Linked DNA regions of Arabidopsis thaliana. The protein of the gene in region 1 interacts with the protein of each later gene in a biochemical or structural test. Each region holds a gene or a part of one and is shown in the gene's direction. Other genes may lie near its edges. The genes, in order: GI, SOS2 and SOS3.

Region 1 (4,548 bases):
TACAAGAGCCGACCCTTTGCCTCATCATTTGTTGACTTCACTCTCCTTTTACATATTTAAATTATAACTTGCTCATATTTCCATTCATTGTGTTCGGTTCTAGATTGTTCCATCCACTTTCTTTTTTCTCTTACTTTGAAATTTAGAAATATATGAATACTTGACAAATATTTGAATATTGTAACTGATTTGTTTGTTCGTAATACTTGACAAACTTTTTTGAATATACACCTTTACATATATTTTGAGTTGAGATAAAAAGGGAATTATGTTAGTTTATGGATTATATTATGTAAATACCACATCTAACTATGATCGGATGAAAACTAAACCAGCATATCTCTAATCAGTAATATTTACTAAATTTATATATCATTAAAGATTTTTTGAATTTAGCAAAAAAAGAAGAAGATATCATTAAAGATTTTTAAATTTAAAGTATAACATAATGAATAAATCAAGTGTTGAGCTTAGTTTCGCGTTGCAAAGATGTTCATTTGATTTTTTTTTTTTTTTTTCCATTTGATTTTTCTTATACTAAATTGATTGATGTCACGGTCCTTCTGTGAAAAAAGTATATTGTACTGTATAAATTTATAATAGTCATACTTGAAGATAACTAATATCATTTTCTAAAGGTTTTGTTGACAATGAAATGGGTAATGATGAACATCTCGTTTGCTAAACCACAAAAGAAATAATTCGTTGGACTATAACTTAAACTTATAATATATCAACTGAAATGCCTACAATTTGAGAATACGCCTTTTCAAAAAGTTTTAGAATTTTATAAAAATTTCTCCACCATAATATTACTTTAATAAAAGCTTGTTATTAAAATGATATATTAACAAAAAAAAAAGAGGTAGGCAAAGTAGCTTTTATTAAAATTAATGTTTTCCCTAATTGGTAAATCATAAACCAAAAAATTGAGGTAATTCTTAATATATTTACTATGATTAGAATGATACATTAATGTAACATTTTATCATCTTCATTAATAATAGTAAGTTCTCCTCAAAATTACAATTTGATATCAAAAAATATATTTGTATTACAAGCAATTACTGAAAAATTAAAATTACAATTTAGCCCAGTTACATAACTCCACGTAAGGTTTGAGCCCATCACATCACATGGTACATGACCAAAGCCCAGTTATGTTACCATGGAGTATTCTTCAGACAAGAGCCATCCAGACAGAAGTGGACCACACAATCACGAATCGTATGGAGATCATTACAATATATTGCTCACATCTTATTGCGCCACGTCTCTTATTTGGCGAGTGATCAACGTCCACAGATCTCTTGCTCCACTCTGATTGGTACACGTCATCATTTTATTGTGCTACTTGTTTATGTGGTACAGTAGAGACAAGTGGTAAGATTTTAAAATATCTTAAAAGATGTGTGAGGCCCATTTAGATATTTTCTCAACGGGCTGTTCCTCAAAAGCTGCCCGTTTATCTACAACCATCGAACGGCTCGAAACTATTCTGGGCTAGCTGCCCGAAATCTCTTAAAGGAATTTGTTGAGTGGGCTTGAATCAACGGTGGATAATTCGAAGGTGTACGTAACATCTCGTAGCATCTGAACTTAGCTCCCCTCAAAATATCTGTGGACATATGTCACTAGCTTTTTTTTTGTGTAATGAAACTATTAATTAATTAGGCAATCACATGAGAGATGTTATATACTTAAATTAATAACTCAATAATACAATCATGACCACCAAACCTTGAAATAAAATAATCTCTCTGATTACTTGTACAAATTCTTTACCAATATATGCCATACTGTGAATGTAATGGTTTATTTTAAAACAGCCAAATATTATTGATATAATTATATGTTTAAGTAGATTTTAAACTTAGCTCATGGTTAAAAATAGACAGAATTTTGGAGTAAATCTGAGTTTACAAAATTTATTTATTAGGATTAAAATTAATTACTTAAATTGGCAAACATTTTTCTTGGTGATTGTAACATACAATATACGAATTTGAATTCGCATTGTGATTCCAAAACAACACTAACATAAACTACCAGTAAAATTTTTTAAAATAAAATTTCATATATATATGCTTAAAAAATGTAACAAAAATATGGTAAATTTTTTAACCATGGTATGGGTGGAGATGTATGTGGGATGATGATGGTTATATGGTAATGGCGCATAAAGGTGGTGGCAAAGGCAAGGAAATATCGATGACACGTAAGCAGACGGGAAATCTTAAACCGAGTGGAGAAGCCTCCAAATCTCTTTTTTCTCTCTCTCTCTCCTAAGGCCACCACAATCTCTTCTTCTGTGTATGTATTCTTTTTTTCTCCGATATTCGTCGATCTCTCAAAAATATCCTCAAAGCCAAAAAAAAGCAAGAGTAGAGATAACCAACCAACAAACTCATAGGAAGACATATTTACTTTCAGGTCTTTCTTCTACTACCTTTTTCGTGGTTTTTGGTTGATTGATTCTCAGATGAGATTTTTTCCCGAATCATTTGATGTCTTTTTTTTTTAAATAAGTTCTTGGTAAATCACTGTTTCTACTAGCATTTTTTGTTTTCTCAGCTTAGATTTGTTGTTTGATTTGACATCTTATCTGATTGAGATTTTGTTCTTCTGAATTGTTGTTACAGGGTTTAGCTGTTTGATTCAGCTTCGATTTAGTGTACAGTGTGTTGATTAGTATAAAAAGGATTTAAAAGAATCTGGGAGATGTGTATAGTGATTGTTCTTGCTGGCGAATGTTAACACTACGTCGTATTGATTCTCGATTGATAGTAGAAGAAAGGTGTTAGTTAGATTGTTCGTTCATCTAGTTGGGGTTTAGTTTCGGTTCCTGGATGGCTAGTTCATCTTCATCTGAGAGATGGATCGATGGTCTTCAGTTCTCTTCCTTGTTATGGCCTCCGCCACGAGATCCTCAACAACATAAGGATCAAGTCGTTGCTTATGTTGAATATTTTGGTCAATTTACATCAGAGCAATTCCCAGATGACATTGCTGAGGTACTTGATACCTAATGAGTTTAATAAGAGTATTCTCTTAGTAGTGACGTTTTGATTCATGTATAATTTATCTGTATCAGTTGGTCCGGCATCAGTATCCATCAACTGAGAAGCGACTTTTAGACGATGTGCTGGGTATGATCAACATTTATGATCCACACTTCTCTTTTTGTGTGTGAATGTCTATCTGATTTTCGTTTTCTGATGAAACAGCGATGTTTGTCCTTCATCATCCGGAGCATGGTCATGCAGTCATTCTTCCAATCATTTCATGTCTTATTGATGGCTCGTTGGTGTACAGCAAGGAAGCTCATCCGTTTGCCTCTTTCATATCTTTAGTTTGCCCAAGTAGTGAGGTATATAATAGCTGTCTAGTATCATGCTTACTGATTTGGTGTAACCTATACCATTTTGTGCTAACATGTTCACTATCCTAACAGAATGACTATTCGGAGCAATGGGCTTTGGCATGTGGAGAAATCCTTCGCATTTTGACTCATTACAACCGTCCCATTTATAAAACTGAGCAGCAAAATGGAGATACAGAGAGAAATTGTCTGAGCAAAGCTACAACTAGTGGTTCTCCGACTTCAGAGCCTAAGGCTGGATCACCAACACAGCATGAAAGGAAACCTTTAAGGCCTTTGTCTCCATGGATCAGTGATATACTACTTGCTGCTCCTCTTGGTATAAGAAGTGACTATTTCCGATGGTAAGTAGACTCTGTTACTGATGCTTCTATGTGTTCATGCGCCGGCCTCCTTCTTTTATTTTGGTCTCTCTGCTGAGGTCTATGTATTGAGGTTCTGTAGTGGATTAAGCTTACTGACAACTAAAAATGTTGCTTATTATTTACAGGTGTAGTGGTGTAATGGGTAAATATGCTGCTGGAGAGCTCAAGCCGCCAACCATTGGTGAGTTCAAGAATTCCATGTTAATATCCCCTGGAACTGGATTTTGATGATAATTCTGATCAATAGAGTTGTTCTATCACTTCGTTCATAAATGTGTATCCATCACCTGTGGCTATAGAATGTGTTTTGAGTTGCTTCCTATAACTTTCATGTTGTCCTACTTTGGCAGCTTCTCGAGGATCTGGTAAACATCCTCAACTGATGCCTTCAACCCCAAGATGGGCTGTTGCTAATGGAGCTGGTGTCATACTGAGTGTTTGTGATGATGAAGTTGCTCGATATGAGACTGCTACGCTGACAGCGGTCGCTGTCCCTGCACTTCTTCTTCCTCCGCCAACGACATCCTTAGATGAGCATCTAGTTGCTGGCCTTCCAGCTCTTGAACCATATGCACGTTTGTTTCATAGGTATTGTTTCTGGGCTTACCCTTTCAATTAGGGTTTATTGGTAGTAGTCTGTTGCTAGTTTTAAGGTTGTGCTTCCTCGAATCCCTAGATCAGAATTGTTTTCTCACTTTCCTGTTATACTGTCAGATACTATGCCATTGCAACTCCAAGTGCTACGCAGAGACTTCTTCTTGGACTCTTAGAAGCACCACCGTCGTGGGCTCCAGATGCACT
Region 2 (4,548 bases), on another chromosome or scaffold:
CATTTCTATGTTTTACATATATATTTTTTTCTTTCATAAATATCTTAATCTATATAATATATAATTTAATAATATTAATTAACGTGATGTCAAAAATATCAATAGTGATTCGATTAATCGGGATTGTTCACTTATAAAAATAGGATAGATTAATCAAAATTGTGAGATTAATATGAATTATTTAATGTATTATAATAACTAAATTTATATACATCTTGCTTCCATATATTGTCATCATTTCTCATATTTATTACAATTCATTTTCTTTCAATATTTTGTTTTTAATATAAAAAGCGTAAATTTTAAAAATATCATTTAATGAGATACTTATTGTGATTAAATATTGATTGTAATTATCTATGAAGCACTAATAAATTTAGAGAGACTAATAATAAATTATTTATTTTCGTTTATAAATTTAATAAAATAGAAATTTATATTTTGATAATGTTTATATTATTTGGTGACAAAACATTTAGAAACTTTTCCATATTTTAAAATATTTTTTTTATTTTCATATATTGGTTTTTTTCTATTTTACAAAAAATTTAAAAAATAGAAAAAGAATAATTTAATAAATGTTAATTAGCGAGATGGCTAATCTCGATTGGTTGTTTAAAATCTATGTGGATGCTCTAAGAAGCAAATAATCTCGACTTTTTTAAGAGTATAGACTAGGTTATTAACCCCCGCTATGCGAGGTTTGTTGTTATCGATTGTCTTAATATATGTTTTTTGTTTAGTAATCATTTTAGTAGCTAATTAGCTATACATTGACATATGATTAGGAGTGTCAAAATGGGTAAGTCAACTCAACTCAACTTATAATCAAATGAGTTTAGGGTAACAAAATGAGTTGGGTCAACCCATAACTCATTTAATTTGATGGGTTGAGTTGTTAAATGGGTTAACCCATTTAAGTAATAATTTAATTAATTATTATTACAAAACATAATAAATAATTATCATTATTAATTCATTATCATCAAACTTAGGATATTTACGTATTACACTTTTTATGGATTTACGTTTTTGACGATAAAATCATGGATTTACGTTTTTTGCGGGAAAATTACGGATTTACGTTTCTGGCGGGAAAATTACGGGTTTAAGTTTTTGGCAGGAAAATCTCGGGTATACGTTTTTGGCGGGAAAATCACGGATTTACGTTTTTGGCGAGAAAATCACGGATTTACGTTTTTGGCGGGAAAATCACGGGTTTACGTTTTTGGCGGGAAAATCACGGGTTTTCGTTTTTTGGCGAGAAAATTACGAGTTTACGTTTTTGGCGGGAAAATCACGGGATTTACATTTTTGGCGGGAAAATTACGGGTTTACGTTTTTGGCGGGGAAATTATGGATTTACGTTTTTGGCGGGAAAATCTCGGGTTTACGTTTTTGGTGGGAAAATTACGGGTTTACGTTTTTGGCGAGAAAATTATGGATTTACGTTTTTGGCGGGAAAATCTCGGGTTTACGTTTTTGGCGGGAAAATCTCGGGTTTACGTTTTTGGCGGGAAAATCTCGTGTTTACGTTTTTGGCGGGAAAATCTCGGGTTTACGTTTTTTGCGAGAAAATCACGGGTTTACTTTTTTTTGCGGGAAAATCACGGATTTATGTTTTTTGGTGGAAAAATTACGAGTTTACTTTTTCTCAATTTCATTGCTTGTATATTTAAGAAATTTGGAAAAATATTAATTTTATTAAATTGGTTTAGATGTGTTGGTTAAACCTAAATTGGCATTGGTTTAGAGATTTTAGTTGGTTTTATTCAATTTTACAAAATTTGATGGGTTAATTGGATAAACCATGGAAACCATTAACCATTACAACCTAACTCATTTTACTCATCAAACCAATTGACTCATCAACTCATTTGACTCATCAACTCATTTGAGTCAAAAATTTCAACTCATTAGGGTTCATGGGTTGAGTTGAGTTGAGTTGACCCATGAATTTTGACCCATTTTGACACCCCTACATATGATCATAAGTTAATAATCAAAAATTACTATTGATAACTTTTTAACGGAATTGTTTTGTAAGTTTCATTTACGTTATTTATATAAAAAAACATAATGCAAAAGTACTAATGTATAGTTATTTTTATTTTTAATAATGCAAAAATATTACTGTAATACTTTTTCATTCTTATCAATATTTTTTCTTATATTCAATTAGCCACCAACACCTACATTTCATATTTCTCTTCACATTCATTATTTTCTTGCTCTTGTATTCCTTCTTATCATCTTCATTGCCAATTTTTCATTGACATTGTCATCGTTACTTTGTATGTATGATTTTTGAACATTTAATGTGAATCCCAACCGACTATAGGACTATCAAGAAGTTTTCAAACTTTTTAAAAAAGATCTTGAACCTTTAAAGCAAATCCCAACCGACTATAGAACCATAGTCCTCTTCCTTGTTGATGAAGCTCTTCTCGTGCCGGCGAAAATCTAGGCCATAAAAGCCTCTTCAACATCACCTAGTATATTGACCGTGACCATCTTTTTGACCATTGCTTTGTGAATGAACCGTCGATAAACCGTGTTATCACTTACGCCAAATTTTTCCCTAGTGTTTGTTTCCAAACTCTCACGAATCCTTATCGAACTTTTTTATATATCACTTTGTAGCATTGGAAAGTATCTTTGTATGCTTTGTCTTAAACTTAGACATCCTTGTTCTCTTGGTTTTTTTGAACCTTGCTTGACTTAAATGAAGTTAAAAATTTGTAGTTAAAAATAGAAAATTTTACTAATTTGAGTTCGATTAATCATAGTCTAGATAATTTGAAAAAAATTAAAATAAATTTTGAAAATACTATATGTTTATTTTTTAAAAATAATTTACTAAATTGATAAGTGATATTAGATTAGTTTTTTTTTTCTTTTTTAAATTTTGAAAACCTCACAATTATTAAATTGAAAGATTCAAAATGCAATGTTAGTTTTTAAAAGTTTAATCACCCAAACGGATAATTGACCCGAACGACTAATTCAGGTCGTATACGGGTACAGTCAAATAACCCGACCCGAAATGCTCAACGGATCTGCACGGACGTTCGCATCGACGATTCACGGCTTTCGCGAATCGCATCACGAGCCTTCCTTCTCTCCTACGCCTCTTTCATCAACCCTTCTCTGCGAATCCAATTCTGGTATTTCACGATTCTCTTTCGACTACGCCCAATCGCAATTCCAGCCGTACGAATTTTATATATTGATTATGATCTTGATCCTTACCTTTTCGTCGTTTCCTTGATCGAATTTATGTTGATTTATGCTGCGAAATCAAAATTATGGATACAGAGTAATTTTGTATATATGGATGTGTAGGAGCTAAAATTAGCAAACAATACGTAAAGTAATTGAAATCGAAATCATAAACGTTTAAGGAAAGAGGTTTTTACTAAGTCTCTGAATAATCTGATTGATAGCTTGTGGTCAATGGATCAGATAAAAGTTTGTAAAGAATGACAAAGAAAATGAGAAGAGTGGGCAAGTACGAGGTTGGTCGCACAATAGGTGAAGGAACCTTTGCTAAGGTTAAGTTTGCGAGGAACACAGACACTGGTGATAATGTAGCCATCAAAATTATGGCTAAGAGTACAATACTTAAGAACAGAATGGTTGATCAGGTATGTTCTGGATTGTTTTTTACATGGAAACTAAGGTTGTTGCGTCAATGGTATGATCTTTGATTTCGTTTAAAGCTCTTTTACAGATAAAAAGAGAGATATCTATAATGAAGATTGTTCGTCACCCGAACATAGTGAGGTTGTATGAGGTATGTTTGTTTGTTTCCATGCATCTGCGAAATTTTATCTCTGAAGTGTTTTTGCATCATTGTTCTTCTGTTGTTTTTTTGTGATTTTCCCGATGTAGGTGTTGGCGAGTCCTTCGAAAATATATATAGTTTTGGAGTTTGTGACAGGAGGAGAGCTCTTTGATAGAATTGTACGGAACTTCCATACTTGTAGGCAGCGTCCATTAGTTAAAACCTCTCTACTTAATTTTTTAATATATGAAATCTTTCATGCAGGTTCATAAAGGGAGGCTTGAAGAAAGTGAGTCTCGGAAATACTTTCAACAGCTTGTAGATGCTGTTGCTCATTGTCACTGCAAGGGTGTTTACCACCGTGACCTAAAGGTAAAGACGTGTTTTTGTTTACCAATATTCCTCAGAATATCTCACTGCGTTGCAATCCAGACTTGATATTTTTGTGTCGCTATGTTATGTTATCTAGCCAGAAAATCTTTTACTCGATACAAATGGAAATCTGAAGGTTTCGGATTTCGGACTCAGTGCATTGCCTCAGGAAGTAAGTGCTCTTATCTCTGCTTCAGCAGTCTGCTTACGTGGTCATTAACTTGTTATATACTCAATCAGGGAGTAGAACTTCTGCGTACCACATGTGGAACTCCGAACTATGTAGCTCCAGAGGTACTTAGTGGACAGGGTTACGATGGTTCAGCAGCTGATATTTGGTCTTGCGGGGTTATTCTTTTCGTTATATTGGCTGGATATTTACCTTTTTC
Region 3 (4,548 bases), on another chromosome or scaffold:
GTATGCAGGGTGTTATCTGAATATTTGGGAGAAGACATGTTGCTCGCTTTGGTATGCAAATCGGCACAAATTGGACCTAATAATGCTGAGTTTCTCAGGCTTCAGTCCAATCATCGGTTTCATGTTCTATGTCTTGATGCAATCAGGTATTTGTCAACATATCGATAGCTAAACCTTAGAGTCGTTTCTGACAGAATCATAAGTGATCTTTTCAAACACGCAGACCTTGGAAGGATGGACTTTTGGAGAACGATCCTCAGAAGAAATTAGCCATGGATGACCCAAAGCTGCCCGATGGAGATCCCATACCGGGTTTCAAGGGCTATGCCGTGAACATGATTGATTTGGCTCCAGAGGAGCTCACTGTTCAAACTTACTCAGGATACGGGCTTAGAGAGACTTTGTTCTATAATCTCTTTGGGAATTTACAGGTATAGAGACCCAAAAGCAAGTTAAAGCAGCTCTTCCACACATCAATGGTGGTGGTGCAGTCTCTTTAGATGGTTTTATCGCAAAAGATAACGGATTCATATATTCCGGGTGCAGGTACTTGACCTTTTCTTGATCCTTGTATCCGTTTTAGTTCTTGAATTTAAACTGTAAAGCTCAAAACTCGAGTTTTATTCCTTGCATCTGTATTTACTGCGGATGATATGATTTATGGTTTTTGGATCAGCATACCGGAATTTCATTTCCCGATTACACTAAAGGAGGATGAAGAAGTGAAGCTGAGAAAAATGGAAGCAGCAAGAGATAAAGTGAGAATGGCAGCGAAGAAGATAGAGGAGGAGAAGTGTTCAATGCGTAAGGTAGACAAGAAAATGAAGAAAACAAATGAAAAATATCACAATGTCACAAACTCATTAGAGCTAATCCAGTCTCAGTCTTTAGAGTAATGAGAGTAAAACTGGACCTAAAACGATTCAAACAGTTTGTTTACCTGTTGGTTATCGGTTTGGTTTTTGTGTTTTTGGATTAGTCACTTTTGTTCTGAAATTTCATTTTCTTTTTCGGTTAATGGTATTTTGTTCACCAATTTTCTATTTCAAAAGTTTGTTTTTGATCTTGCTGCTATGATCTTTTTAAATAACTAGATTTTTTGAACCATAACGAACATATTATAAGAAAATAGCCATGGTAGCAAAACCAAACTTTTAAAATATCACCAATCCAACAGACAAAAAGAGAATACTAGTGGGCAAAAAGTGAAGGAAAATTTATCATTTCACATCGTAATTTTTTGTTTAATTGAAAAAGTGCAAATGAAATGATGGGTCAACTATAAATAAAATAAAGATTTTGTAATTGAACTAAGAAAATAAAACTCTGTGGATCATGACGAAAGTTAGAAAAGTTAGGCACATGTAGTTTCAGTGTTGTCATGTTTTTTTTTATGTAAGAGTAGGAAGCTCTCTTATAGGACGGGTATGATCAGCTGACAAGTTCCAAACCCTATAAAAAGTGATGTACATTGTGGAATCTGGTAGCTTGACGATGATGAATGTGATATATCTCTTTCATAGTTACGTTTTCATGGTAATTGTTAAAATTTTCATAAACAATCGAGTTCATTTTTATCGGAATCATAATAATTACTACAAAAATGAGCATACGTATAAATGTAATTATCAATCATCTGTAAGAAAATTTGTATTAGTTAGTTTAAGAAATATATTAGCGACTTTTTTTTTGGTCACAAGAGTGTCCATTTTATTTATATCAAACATCAAACTAAGGTCCAAGACAAACACATCAAGCGAAGGTGTAAGACAAAATTTCTTATGAAATATATAATTAACTTTTTTAAAATTGGTGTATTTTCAGAAGTGAATAATATTTTAGGTTATTTTTATATCAAAAACTGCCTCTCATATTTATAATTTTTTAAAAGATTATTTGCCAACAACCACCACAAGTGTCAACAAAAGGAAATTAAAAAGTGAGGTGGGACTTGAAAACAGTACTACTCTAATATTTTTTTTGTTTGTCATAAATAGAAGGTCGAGGAAACATTGCTATATAGTTTATAGTACACGATATAAAAATATATTTTCAAAACCGACATAACATCGGGATCCATCTGCGCATGGACGGACACAAACCTAACCCGATGTTGGGAAGCTCGTCACAAATTTGTTCTTCTATTTAAATAACTCTCATTTTGCCCTTTTCCTCTTCCAACACCATTATTCAATTATTCAAGATCGAGACAAGTGAAGAGTCGACAAGAACATATAGAGATTCATCCATATCTTGGTTAGTTATTTTTGATCTTATTTTTTTTGTTTCTTCGATTCACCATTGCTGAGAAAATCTTTCATCTCTATCCAATGTTTTTTTTTTCTATCACTTCCATGTTTTGGTTTTCTGTTTCGTAATTTTTAGTCCACCTCAAGATATATGTAAAGGAATTCACTGTTTTCCTCTCTCTTTTTTTCGAAATGGAGGTTTATGAGCTTGAAGTTTATCCCATCTTGGGTTTTCTTCAAGAAAGAGTCAAAATATGTCCGTGTTTCCAGGAATCTTCTGATAAGATTTAGTATAATTCGGTTAAATATTAGAAAAAACAAACAAACCAAAGCAAAACCATTCTTTAAAACTGACTCAATTGAGTTCTTTAGTGCTATAGACTGAATTGAACCGTTTGATTTTTGTTTTTCTTCTAATTGAGTGTATAGTTTCCAACATTCCATTAATCATTCAATGGAATTTGGCTTTGGTTTTGGTTTCAATCGAAATCAAGTTATTTCAGATTAGAGATTACAAATTGGATCATATCCGGTTTGGTCCATCTCGGTTCGATTTTGGTGGGTGTTTAATTAGTTGGTAGCCATTAGATATTTAGAACTGTTTTTTTGTTTCTTGTGTCACTTTTGGTGATTTAGAGTCTAAGGAGAGGAGATGGCAAATTTGATTTCTTACTAAAAATCAAAGACCACACCTAATAAACTTATTTATAGCAAATAAATTATAAAAGTCAATAGCTGCAAGTTTTTTTTTTTTTCATTTTTACTATTTAAATACTTATAGAGAAAATAATTAATTTTAAAACGTCATATTGCTGCGTGGCCGGTTTGATTAAACAACATTTTTGTTATTAATTATACAAAAAGATCGCGAGAAGTAAACAACAAGATGAAAATACTGCTTCTAAATTAGATATGTCTAAGTTTGTTTACACGACGTACATTGAGTATGATTACGTATAGATCTAAAAAACAGGTAATGAGAATTTGGAGGCTCCACACATAACAAAATCAAAATGGTCCATAAATTAATACATTAATTAGAAATGTCATAGAAAAGCCAAATGCACCAAAACCTTCCTTAGGCATTAGTTGATCATTATTAATGATTCATTAATTAACCAACTAGGCTCATGTAGTTTTCAAATATATACTATATTAGATTTGAGGTTCCAAGTTCAAGATTCGCTTTGCCTGGTCAAAGACAGGCTCTGATATGTACCAAATTAAATGCTAGTATGGTTGAGGATTTTACGTGGCTTTTTTGGAACAAAACGAGATTTAAATATACTATATAGTCTCTAGATATTAGTGTAAGTGTAATCAAGCCCTTTTTGTTTTATTTATTAGTAAAACACATATAAATTGCCTACATTGAAAAAAGCAACAAAAGGTTGTCTCAATCTCGTGATTATTGATTTTTGATAAAGCATCACTTTTTAATGTGGTCCCATGGCCATTCATATTGTAACTCTTCTCTTAGTTCTCTATCCTTTTCGTTCAAAATCCATTCTAGTCTCTCTTCACTTAAAAATGTACTCACCAAAACAACTTAAATCATGTTGGGTCTGATTGGTAACACAAAACTTTAGCTGTTAGCTGGAGCGGTAAACTGTTACGAAATAGTACAAAACTGTCTAAAAGAGCTGTACAGAAAAGTTTAGAATAAAACTTTTTGTAACGTTTTTGATAAAGTTTTTTTGAATGGTAACTGTCAAAGTTGTACAGTTTGTACAACTTTGATAATGAGTTACCATTCAAAGCCGTTATTTATTCAACCTATCCGGCTTCTTATTATGTTCCTAAACTTACGACATGGTTGTATTACTCGCTTAAATGTGTTCTTGTGATTGAGTTGGACATAGGTTCAAGCTTATTTGGAAAAGAAAAGAAAACATCTTTGTAGATATTTACTAGAGTACATTGACTGATTCATGTATATACGTGGACCAACGTCGATTAGATTTGATATTGATCCGGTATTTGTATTTATGTATTATCTATATGTATGCATATATCATAGGAGACTTTGATCATTTATCTATGTTATTAGGGATAATAAAATTAGGAGTAAACTAATTATCTCTTATATCTATACACCTAGTCATTAGCGTGGCTAATACGGCGACTTGCCTACACCTTCTGTGAATTATATAATATTTGGTTTCATTACGTTTATTGTGAATCATTACTAAATTATAGATTAAATAGGGAAAACGCTGTTTTTGTTCTAATTTTGGCTACTTCTGTTAATGAATTGATTGTTTAGGGAGAGCTTACTAGCTGTCGTGAAAGCTACAAC

Evidence for each region.
Region 2: the proteins of GI (region 1) and SOS2 form a complex in vitro, tested with the Arabidopsis thaliana proteins (one study listed by BioGRID).
Region 3: the proteins of GI (region 1) and SOS3 form a complex in vitro, tested with the Arabidopsis thaliana proteins (one study listed by BioGRID).

What each region holds. Positions count from the first base shown.
Region 1 is NC_003070.9:8,059,549-8,064,096, forward strand, and holds the start of GI (gigantea protein (GI)), read left to right. Parts: upstream 1-2,202; 5' UTR 2,203-2,433; intron 2,434-2,642; 5' UTR 2,643-2,849; coding exon 2,850-3,014; intron 3,015-3,094; coding exon 3,095-3,149; intron 3,150-3,227; coding exon 3,228-3,370; intron 3,371-3,454; coding exon 3,455-3,726; intron 3,727-3,872; coding exon 3,873-3,928; intron 3,929-4,097; coding exon 4,098-4,335; intron 4,336-4,461; coding exon 4,462-4,548. UniProt on the Arabidopsis thaliana protein: Involved in regulation of circadian rhythm and photoperiodic flowering. May play a role in maintenance of circadian amplitude and period length. Is involved in phytochrome B signaling. Stabilizes ADO3 and the circadian photoreceptor ADO1/ZTL.
Region 2 is NC_003076.8:13,631,451-13,635,998, forward strand, and holds the start of SOS2 (Protein kinase superfamily protein), read left to right. Parts: upstream 1-2,948; 5' UTR 2,949-3,167; intron 3,168-3,465; 5' UTR 3,466-3,482; coding exon 3,483-3,647; intron 3,648-3,733; coding exon 3,734-3,796; intron 3,797-3,894; coding exon 3,895-3,966; intron 3,967-4,051; coding exon 4,052-4,159; intron 4,160-4,256; coding exon 4,257-4,331; intron 4,332-4,399; coding exon 4,400-4,548. UniProt on the Arabidopsis thaliana protein: Involved in the regulatory pathway for the control of intracellular Na(+) and K(+) homeostasis and salt tolerance.
Region 3 is NC_003076.8:8,240,839-8,245,386, reverse strand, and holds the start of SOS3 (Calcium-binding EF-hand family protein), read left to right. Parts: upstream 1-1,943; 5' UTR 1,944-2,256; exon of another isoform or gene 2,257-4,548. Other genes in the region: AT5G24275 (En/Spm-like transposon), read left to right, coding at 9-146, 224-437.